Linked DNA regions of Nothobranchius furzeri. The protein of the gene in region 3 purifies or fractionates together with the protein of the main gene of each other region. This does not show direct contact. Links are inferred from orthologs where the notes say so. Each region holds a gene or a part of one and is shown on either strand. Other genes may lie near its edges.

Evidence for each region.
Region 1: the proteins of rnf111 (region 3) and skia purify together in Homo sapiens (affinity purification with western blotting, with the first as the bait; 3 studies listed by BioGRID). This does not show direct contact. The link is inferred for Nothobranchius furzeri from reciprocal best matches to the Homo sapiens genes RNF111 and SKI.
Region 2: the proteins of rnf111 (region 3) and skila purify together in Homo sapiens (affinity purification with western blotting; 3 studies listed by BioGRID). This does not show direct contact. The link is inferred for Nothobranchius furzeri from reciprocal best matches to the Homo sapiens genes RNF111 and SKIL.

The regions. Positions count from the first base shown.
Region 1 is NC_091755.1:44,987,293-44,991,044, forward strand, and holds the start of skia (v-ski avian sarcoma viral oncogene homolog a), read left to right. Parts: upstream 1-1,461; 5' UTR 1,462-1,839; coding exon 1,840-2,745; intron 2,746-3,752. UniProt on the Homo sapiens protein: May play a role in terminal differentiation of skeletal muscle cells but not in the determination of cells to the myogenic lineage. Functions as a repressor of TGF-beta signaling.
Region 2 is NC_091751.1:45,646,419-45,650,070, forward strand, and holds part of skila (ski-like protein), read left to right. Parts: intron 1-166; coding exon 167-262; intron 263-839; coding exon 840-928; intron 929-2,177; coding exon 2,178-2,320; intron 2,321-3,652. UniProt on the Homo sapiens protein: May have regulatory role in cell division or differentiation in response to extracellular signals.
Region 3 is NC_091749.1:59,532,140-59,535,791, reverse strand, and holds part of rnf111 (E3 ubiquitin-protein ligase Arkadia), read left to right. Parts: intron 1-172; 5' UTR 173-255; coding exon 256-1,129; intron 1,130-3,652. UniProt on the Homo sapiens protein: E3 ubiquitin-protein ligase. Required for mesoderm patterning during embryonic development. Acts as an enhancer of the transcriptional responses of the SMAD2/SMAD3 effectors, which are activated downstream of BMP.

The DNA.
Region 1 (3,752 bases), on a different chromosome or scaffold from region 3:
AAGAATTTCCAGCCAGATGCAACGCCGAGGATGCACAGGAAGTGCTACCTGTTGACACTGCTACTCATTTTAGGCCCGCTCTCAAAACTGGCTCTTCCACCCTTGCTCCCTTCAGCTGGGTGATCCCGACCAGGGGTGCGAGTGCGTAGAGTTTACTGATTGATCACGCCCCTTTTGTGCCCTTGATCCGCACTTCACCCACTTCAGTCCGCATGGATGTAAAATTATTTAAATAACTGTGTGAAAGTTGTTAGTGAAGGTTTTTTTAGTTTCACAGCGACCAGCATCCCCGCATGCGTTGCAATCGATGACACGATGCTCGCTGTCTCTACTCTGCAGTTATTAGCACACTTGTGCACCATGCAGCCTTACAGCACACTTCCTCCACGTGCACTCTGCTGAAGAGCACAGGGCGAGTACTGGGACTGGGCCTCGGCCTGTGTTTGTAAAAAATGTCATAAATGGTATAATGTGGGAATTTGTGGAAGCGTAATGGCTTCTGTACTTAAATAACACAAACTCCTGATATTTAAACAGTTTTAGACATGTTACACTTTAGCAGCACGCGGGTTAGCCTTTAGCTTAGCCTGTCCACAGAGCTAGCTGGTGAACTGATTTCTAAAAAGTCAGAAACACATTTAAAAAAACTAGATTAAAAAAACCATCATTAGATCTGTGAATGCAGCATTAGTGTTCCCCTGGCACTTGTACGCTGTGTGCGTGTGCGCGCGTGCGTGTCTGTGGGGGTGTGCGTGTGTGTGTGTCTGCGGCATGTGCGCCCCCCCTAGAAAAGTTGCTGCGGTTTGAATATTCAGTCAAACCACATATTGATCTTTATTCTAGACATAATTGTAAAACAAAATAAAAATTATACAATTAATGAGTAAATAAATAATCAGAATAAAAAAGAAATTCATGTTTCCGCTGCTCAACATTATAAAAAGTTTTTACCTCTGTAGGTGTTGTTTTTGTGAACACAGCAACAGGTGAATGAACCTAAAACAATAAATTTTAAATACATTTTGAATAACTGAAAAGTATTTTTCTGAAATGTTTGTAAAACTGAAGTTAAATGTTTTGGAGACGTAGAGCTTTTTAATAAAAATGAATAAAAGTGTAACACGTCGCCACCGGCTGAACTCTCCCAGAGTTTCCACTAACACCAGTTTGGTTTGCCACCCCAAAACTTTTTGGGCCATCTGGCCCCCCTATCTAAATTTTCTGGAGGCGCCCCTGGGTGTGTGCGCGTGGGGTGCGCGCGTGTGCGCGCGCGCGTGTTTCGCTGGAGGGGGTGACGGCTTGTTCCTGGAAGAGCCCGGTCGGCCTGCCCGCAGAGTCACTCACATTCCTGGCCGGGATTCAATGACTGAGCTAGACACACAAACACAGGGGGAGGGAGGGGGGAGGGCGCGAGGCAGAGGGGAGGAGGCAGCGCGCGCCAGCAGCATCTCCAGTCAGAGGGAAGTGCGGGGGCAGGCGGACCTGATCTCTGCGGTCCTCGACAGCAGAACCAACCTGAATTCGGGATCTGTGCTCGCGCGGGTTTGCCTCTCGTGTCCCGCTTCTGGAAGTTTCCACCGGAACTTTGCGCCCTGTGGAGTTCGGACTCCTGTCGGACATGGACGGGCTGCGACCCTCTGGCCGGTGTGCGCTCCGTAGGGCTGGCGCGGAGAGGACTGGTGTCTAGAGCGCTGCGCTCGGATTCATGTTGGATGAAGCTTCAGCAGCTCCACGCAGCTCTGGGACACCGCGGATTTACCAGCTCGAGAAACGGATCGACCCTCGCGACTCCCGGCCAGCCAGAAGAAGGATTTTCGCTTCCAAAGTTGTAGGAAAAACATGGAGACTGTAAGTCGGCAGAGCTTCCAGCCTCATCCGGGACTGCAGCAAACTCTGAAGCAGTTCCACCTCAGCTCCATGAGCTCTCTGGGCGGACCGGCGGCGTTCTCGGCCCGGTGGCAACATGAGCTCCTCTTCAAGAAGGACGGGAAGGAGCCCGAACCGGTCCTGCAGCATCTGCCGCAGCCCGTGATGCCCGGTCCGCTCTTCATCCCGTCGGACCGCTCCACGGAGAGGTGTGAGACGGTCCTGGAGGCGGAGACCATCTCCTGCTTCGTGGTCGGCGGGGAGAAGCGGCTGTGCCTGCCGCAGATCCTCAACACGGTGCTGCGGGACTTCACCCTGCAGCAGATCAACTCCGTGTGCGACGAGCTGCACATCTACTGCTCCCGATGCACGGCGGACCAGCTGGAGATCCTCAAAGTCATGGGGATCCTGCCCTTCTCGGCGCCGTCCTGCGGCCTCATCACCAAGACGGACGCCGAGCGGCTGTGCAACGCCCTGATCTACGGAGGCGCCTACCCGCCGCGCTGCAAGAAGGAGCTAGGCTCCGGGTCCTTGGAGCTGCAGCTCACCGACAGGAGCTTCAAGGTCTACCACGAGTGCTTCGGCAAGTGCAAGGGCTTGCTGGTGCCGGAGCTGTACTCCAGCCCCAACGCAGCCTGCATCCAGTGCATGGACTGCAGACTCATGTACCCGACCCACAAGTTCGTGGTGCACAGCCACAAGGCGCAGGAGAACCGGACGTGCCACTGGGGCTTCGACTCTGCCAACTGGAGGGCGTACATCCTCCTGGGTCAGGATTACACAGGGAAAGAGGAGAAGGTCCGCCTGGAGCAGCTCCTGGACGACATCAAGGAGAAGTTCGACTTCACCAACAAGTACAAGAGGAAAGCTTCATCCAGGGTGAGTCCGACCTCCTCATCTGGTTCTGGAGGAGGAGAACCCTTTTCTGTGTGGGTCCTGGTTAGCTCTGACTCAGTTAACCAGTGTGTGTGTGTGTGTGTGTGAGCCCGCATCATCACCCCAACCCCTCCATCACCATATTGCTGCTAATTGAGTCTCATCCAGCCTCTGGTGGCTATAAAGCCATTATTTACCCTCTGGTGTCGTTTTATTGGCTTGTACAGTAAATACAAGTGTGTGTGTGTGTGTGTGTGTGTGTGTGTGTGTGTGTGTGTGTGTGTGTGTGTGTGTGTGTGTGTGTGTGTGTGTGTGTGTGTGGTGTGATAAAGGTCCCCGTGGCCGTCTCCAGTCTGACTTCCTGTGCGGTTTAAGCTTTTTCTGCGTTTTTAGACCCGACGTTTTTGCACCAACGTGTTTGAACGCGGCTGCTTGGCGTGTTCCTGGTTCGGCCGCTGAGACGTAAAACTTCCAACACTTGAATCCTTCATTTTTCCTGGCAGACTGGCTGTTGTGTGTGTGTTTGGAGCCGTGGAGGTGTGAGGAGGAGTTTCTGGAGCCAGGCCCACCCCTCACAGCAAAAGCCCATTTGCATGAACTGTTACACATCGGTGGAGCGGATGAAGCGGGGTTTAGGAGTATTGTGGTGGAAACATAATATGATCCCAACAAAAGGGTCATTCAGCTAACACGGGACCACCCACCACCCCCACCGGTCCCTTCCTCCCGTCTGACCATCGGATTGAAACCGCAGCTCTTTCCTGGAGGCAGCCCTGTTGGTGGAGCTCAGAAAGCAACAGCAAACTGTTTACAAGCACTCCTCCTCCTCTCAGGCTGCTTTCAGAGGAATCTCGGGAAGAAAGGGAAAATCGGGACAACCTCTTGTAATCCAGACCAATGCCAAAGTCCTGCGTGAATGCCCACCGCTGGCACACACTTCCATTCAGGCGGGAGTGGGCACACCCAAAGGACCTCTGCTTTCAGGGGCCTCCTCCGGCTGGGAGGAAAAC
Region 2 (3,652 bases), on a different chromosome or scaffold from region 3:
TTATCATTTTCATTTCCCTCTGTGACTCCGAGACTTTCTTTACCTCTCGCTTTTGAACAGACTCAGTCATTTATGGTTCTTCAAAAGTGTGATAACAAATCTATTCTGTGCTCTGTCCTTCTTTTGAGGATGGTTTGTTAGACTGTGTTGTCTTTTTGCCCTTCAGAAGTCAGGGGAGGAAGAGGAGATTCAGCTGAGGAAGTCCTCGGTAGATCTCTGCTCCGCCGGCGACAAGTTAGCCGAGGCTGAGCCTGCGAGAAAGGTCAGTAGTTGTTTCCTTTATTGTAAACATTCATGTGCCTTTCCATCACCCTCCTCCGCACACACACACACACACACACACACACACACACACACACAGGCCATCACACACAACAAAGTTCACCCCTTCTGCCCACCCTCCTTCACCCCACCGCAGCACACACAAGTTAACATGCAGAGAAGAAGCTCTTTATCTCGATTATCTTCTCTTCTGAGTCGTGCTCAGTGTCTCAGCTGATGCCTGATGGGTAATCCCTCACGCGCATCCCATCTATGCATGCATATATTAGCTTCATTAGATTATAGCTTCAAGAGATGGCACACATTCCCCTCTCCTCCTGCTGTTTGCTTTTATAATTGTGTGTGTGTGTGTGTGTGTGTGTGTGTGTGTGTGTGTGTGTGTGTGTGTGTGTGTGTGTGTGTGTGTGTGTGTGTGTGTGTGTGTGTGTGTGTGTGGTTCAGCTGCATTATAGTGATTCGTCTATTCAACCAGGAAGTTTATTAATAGATGAACACATTTTTCATCATAACGTTGTTTTTTTAATGTGATGTTTGTGTGTGTGTTTGGTTTTCTGCAGGGCAAACCGACTCCGCCCACTCTGGTGTTCAACCGTCTTTTCACAGACATCAAGGAGGAGCCAGGACACCCCACCCTGGTCCATCCCAGGTATTACACTCCACCTGTGTCCATTCATCTCCAACCAACGGTCAATCGAAGCAGGTTTTTTACAGTTTGTAGTAATGTGTTTTTCAAATGGCAGCAAATGAAGTGCTGCACAGACAGCCCAAAGGTTCAGTTGTGATCATTAAGATGTGATGGCTTTAGATACGATGGTGGCTAGCTTCTATGTGGTTGTCCGAGAGAAGATTAGAAGCTGCCATTGTAAACAACCCGGAACTTTGTTCACGTACAAGCCAGAAGCTGCACCTTTGGAAAAACATTGATCTGAGGTGGTTTTTCTACTCCTCTGTTAAGTTTCTGTTTGACTTTATTTTCATTTTCATCCTTTTTGTTTTTTCAAGATAATGCCGCCACTCTTCTGCTCTTTTTCCTGTGAGTCTTTCTTCCTCCTTCCTTTTTCTTTCCTTCCGGCTCTCATTTCCGTCCGCGGGTGGCACCACCATTTGTTTGAATATGGCTCAGTTTTAGCAAATCTTTAGCAATAATCTGCCCCAGATTAAAACCTGGAATTAGAGGGTTTATAGTGCTGTTACTACATGTGACCGGCCCTTGGCATGCTTTGTGAAGGCTTGCAGACATCAGACCAGACTAAATGGAGGAGGATTAACGCCGTGATCACCTGCCAGCATCTTGCTACTTCAAACCAGTCATTGTTTAAAATATAATAAAAGACCCTCAGATAACACTCAGTCATATTTAGTTTGCTGCAAACATCAAATCGATCTCATCTGGGTTGCTTGATGCTCCTGCAAACCTGCAGTCCGTCATTTTCGTCCACGTCAGAGGAAGACATGGTTGCTTTAGCGTTTCACGCAGAGGCCCACTGGGCTGTCAGGCTTAGCCTAGTTCACTGCTCAAGCCTCAGCGCTGTCTGGAGGGTCCTACTGACTGAACGGGGGAGGGGTCCAAAGCTAGAATAAACTGAACATGTTTTTTAATGGTTTCACTGCATCTCCAGGCAGTGCGTCTCTCCCAGTTGGACCACTACCTGGACATCAGTGATGAGCTGAAGGTCTGTTAAGAGTGAGATCCTGTCGACAGATCCTGTTTGTGCTCCCGACTTCAGATGTTGCTTTAAGTTAAAACTGATGCCAATCAAAGATTGTTCAGATACGTTCGTTGGACAGGGACATAAATCACCGATAGCCGTTCGATTAGAATACAGAGTACTAAAATCTTGTTAAACAAACCATTTCTAAGTGTCTCTTTCTCTCTGTGTGCTTCTTTGTGACAGCTACTACCTGTACACATACGATAAGATGGTGGCTCCCAACGTGTCGCTGAGGAGGGAGGCGGAGATGAGCCCGGAGATGCTCGGTGTGCTCCTCAAACATCACTACAGTCGCCGAATTCTGGGCCACGATGAGCCGCCCATGGGTCAGTAATGACACGCTCAACAACCATTAATTATAGGAGAGTAAAAAAAATCTGTCCAGTATAGAAAATGTGATTCCTAATGAGGATAAGTCTGAGAAGAATGATTTAATGTCACTTTCTTTGAAGGAAACTTGCTTATGCACCTTCTTGGTGGTCTAGTGGTAGAGTCCGCCCTGGGACTGGGAGATCGGAGTTCAAATCATACCTAAGATTTTAAAAATGCGACCCAATGCCTCCCTGCTTGACACTCAGCTTTAAGGGGTTGGTTTGAGGGGTTAAACCACCAAATAGTTCCCGAGGACAGCCGCTGCTGCAGCTCACCGCTCCCCCTGGGGAGCAGTTACACCAGTGTGTGATGATGACCAATGGAACTTGCTAAACTGGAAATTTTAAAATATTTAGTGTAAAAACTAGGCTATAAATAGTAAAAGGAAAGAATAATACAGAAAATTACCATAAATTTAAGAAAACCTGTAGAAAGATTTAGACAGTAAATAACACCAGAAATCAGGTAAAAGTCCAGTTTCATGTTCCTGTAATTAACTTTTACATGATTATTATTGCTGAGGAAATCTGATTTTACTTAATAACTTCTTTCTGAGCTTAAAAAATTTAGTAATTTATAATAATATCTATTAAACATTAGCAAATGTGCTTTAAAACTGCTGAGTCATCTGTGACCTTTAATATTTAGGTCGCTCTTTCCATCAGTAAACAAAGCCGTAAACACTGGGTATGAGTAATAAAGGCTTTAAACACACAACAACAAATCATTCCATGAAATTCAGATGAAATTATAAATATATACTGACATTTCCCAAATACTTACTCATTTACTTTTACCTGTAAATTATTCATCAGATATGTTTTGTCTGTTTGGACGACACATATATAAATATAATCTAAAATTCATTTTTTTGTTGTGTTTGACAAAAAAAAAAGCTTTTGTTTGAACAATTTTTTTTAATTCCTTATAAAATAGCGGGGAAAAAATAGATTTTTCCCCATTAAATCATTTCTAATTTGAGCTAGTGTGTGTGTGTGTGTGTGTGTGTGTGTGTGTGTGTGTGTGTGTGTGTGTGTGTGTGTGTGTGTGTGTGTGTGTGTATCAGACACAGTCTGACGCACATCTACTATAAATACTTGAAATCAATGCAGAAAGCAGCAGCTGTCTACATGCAGCATAAGCAGAAATGACTGACAGATCAAGTTCACACAACTCACTCAGAGTTGACACATGCTTACTGTAAACATACAGTACACACACACACACACACACACACACACACACACACACACACACACACACACACACACACACACACTTTGCAG
Region 3 (3,652 bases):
TCATTTATCAAGTCTTGTTGATCACTTGGTTAAAGATGAGAAGTATTAACTTTGAACTCCCAATTATCAGACTATGTTTTATAAGAAGCACGTGACATTCTTTAGTTGTTTTCTTGCCATCGTGAGAGGTCTTTCCATCTATTGACTGCTTCTTTTTTCCCATTTTTCCTAGATTTTATGAAATGTAGTGGAACGAAGTGAAGCGACTAACGTGAGTGTGCTTGGTGTTTGCCCTGCGAGGACAGACCTGCCACCATGAAGAGTGAGGTGCCATCTGAGGCCACTAGCAGACGGGATCACCTGAAGGAGCCACTGGTAAACCCAGAGTCCATGGAGGGAGCCAAGAACTTCCCTAACAACATGGAGGTCCTCGGAAAGGCAGGCAGTGATTTTGAAACCTTGTGTGAGTCCAGGCACCGGCCCTTGAGAGACACAGGGACCCACAGGGACTCAGAAAGGAGCCTGCCTGGACGTAGGAAAAGAAAAGGCCAGCAGGCCGGGCCGTCAGACTGCTCGCTAAAGGAGGACCACATCAATGAGGATCCACTGGCACCTCAGCGTGCCAGAATAGACCTTCTACAGCATCCCAGTGAGGATGAACATAACGAGTCCTCTTTTAGTGACTGTGCTTCCTCTCCATCATCTAGCCTTCGATTCGGGGACTCGGACACTCTGAGCTCAGATGATGAGGGAGAAGCTGGGGCATCAGTAGGCCAGCATAAGGCTCCTGCCCTTCCTACAGGGGGAGCCACTGAAGTTAGCCTGCGTCCTAGTTTGAGTCGAACTCGTGGTGGTCGCTCCCATAAGTGGGTGCGGCCCGAGGCAGAGCCCGTGTTGCTGAAGCGGCAGTGTTTGAGCAGTCGGCGGCCTCTGCAGAGGAAACGCTTTGTGAAAACAGCTCCAGGAGGAGGTCCGCGGACTCAAAAGCAGAAGGAGCGATTGCTGCTGCAGAGGAAGAAACGTGAAGTGATCGCAAGTAGGAAGTATGCCCTGCTCAACAGTAGTAGTAGTTCCAGTGAAGAGCTTAGCAGCGACTCATCCTCCCCGTCTTCCACTGAGGTGGAAGATGAGCTTTATGTAGATGTGAGCAGCACCAGCAGCCAGCCCAACAGTGCTACTGTAGCAACAGGTAACTACACAGGTTTATTATCTTCTGTCATGTGCATTCATTGTTGTTGTTTATGTTGTGTAAAAGAAGGTTTTTAAAATCAAGAAACAAGCATAAATCTCACAGAAATCACGGTCTTCCCCACTGCAGGAACAACACAGTCTAGCATCAGTTATCATATTTAATCTGAAACACATTAAGGCAGTATTGCATTCATATGCACTGAGACGGGGAAATGGTGACGACTAATGTTAGAGAATAGGTCAACATATTGTGCAGTGCACGGCGATGTTGATTAGTTATATAAAAAGGTTGTGACCGAGGTACTTTTATATATGAATTAACTCTTTTTTTTATTTCCCCTTACTGTCACTTACTGTATACATTTTATTTAGTTTTCCTTGTTGATTGAGGTCACAAACAACTTTGCTTCCTTGGTTCGTATCATGTAGTCCTACTCAACTCCCCCAGGTGAAGACCATCACACTTTTGGTTGTGTCAGCTCTGCTGTCTGACTCTGTTGTGTAGTAGTAATAAAAATACACGTTATGTCCGCTCACTTTCATGCAGCGGGGTAGTAGAGGACTATCCTAGGGTCATTAAAGTTTTGGTTTGTGCGTTGGATAAAAGGGTTATGAATGTTAGCTGAAAAGTTATAGCTGCACCCCTTGCTTTCAACAGCTGCCCTCTGGGTACCTATTGGAAAAGCAGGTTTGCACAGCTTTTCATTCCAAACCTGAATCTGAGCTCTCATTTTAAGCTCTAGATCAATAAAAGCTCCACCTTGACCTTGGCTCATTTATCTTTTCTGTAGCCTTTTAGCCCCTGTAGCATTTCCATTGCTATGGCCCAAGGGAGAAATGGAAAGTTATTTGTTGTCACCGTGTGGTAAGAGGCGGGTGGGAGAAAACTCTGCTGAGCAGCCGCCTTGGCACAAAAACACTGGGTCTCAGAGGAGAATATGGTATTTGTTTACTGCTGAGAAGCAAGTGATGAAACCTGCCTTCTAGATGTCCAGTACCTCAATGGGTGTGTCACACGTTCCCAAAAGCATCTAAATTATTGCAAAGTTGTAAAACAACCAAAATAACACCTACAAATCGTATGGCTTTAGTGTAAAATATGCAAAGGTAATTGTTTTGATTTGAATTAATCTTCAAAATTGGCTAAAGAGGTAAACATTGTGACATTTGCTCACAGTTGGGCGATGCTATCAGGAATACAACATGTCCTTTTATGTGAAAACAACTAATCAACAGGCTGCCTGCAGGGACCACGTTTTACATTGTAGTCTGTTCTGTTGCTAAAGTTAAGAATATTAGTGTTATGTGTTGTGTGACACACGCACGCCGCGCGCACACACACACACACACACACACACACACACACACACACACACACACTGGCTGCACCTCTTAACCAGCTTAACAGGAGGTGTTGTTAGTGTTGGTGCATGGAGGGGCAAGAAGCTAGATCTGCAGAGGGTGCTAAGCAGCAGCTCTCATGAGAGAGTCACCAAGGGGAAGCATGAACTTCACGAACAAACCATTTTGTGATGTGCACAATGACAGAGTATGCTTGAAAAGTGCACTTAAACTTAGCTAGGATGCAACGTAAGCTGCATTTTTAGTTTTTGTTAATTTTGAATAAATATTTCATATTGGGCTTTATTTTATAATGAAGTTAAAGACGTGTTTCCTTATTGTCACCAGATTAGTACTGTTCACAAATATAACAGCTTTCTCACAATGTAGGATGACAGTGGCATAGTGGACGATCACAGTAACATGCCTACGAGTTAGAGATGCTTGACTCATGCATCCTGTGCATGAGTCAGCAAGTCACACTTACACTGAGATTGTGACAATAATAAGAAACAGACACGCAGCTGTAAAAAAACAAAACAACTAAGACTTATAATGGCTGCGACTATGCTGCCTGGGTGTGCACCCAGGAGGGGGTTGCATGGAAGTTGATTTATGTAACTAGCATGTGTGGATAAGTCTGGGAAAAGACAACATTTGTCTTTTCAGTTTATGGCTTCTGTCCTGTTTTTAAAATAGATAAGATTTATTAAATGCCTGCAGGGATCACGTGTACGTGAAAATGTAGTGTTTAGACAAAACTATAGTTTGATATGAAAGCATTTATTTAGGTAATAACTTTTAACTCTAACTAAAATAAACTCTATAATAGGGCTGCACAATATATCGAAAAATTATCATCATCGCAATAACAGGACGTGCGATAAGCCCATCGCAAAACACTGCAAAAACAGCGATAAATGTTTGGTTCAAACATTTCCATCTGTGTCATACATCAGCTTTTTGTAAACCAGCTCTGTTTTTTACTCGGAAGTATTATTTGACCAATCAAATGTAGTCCTTCTGATATGCGGCCAATCAGATGGGTCCGTTCACGTAATACGCCCGCCCCCTACATAGACCCTTTTGGAACGCAACACCCGAAGAGTTTGCTGCGCCGCTCCCTTGTTCGTCATGCTGGCTCAGAGCAACGAACGCACTTTGTGCTGATGTTTCTGGA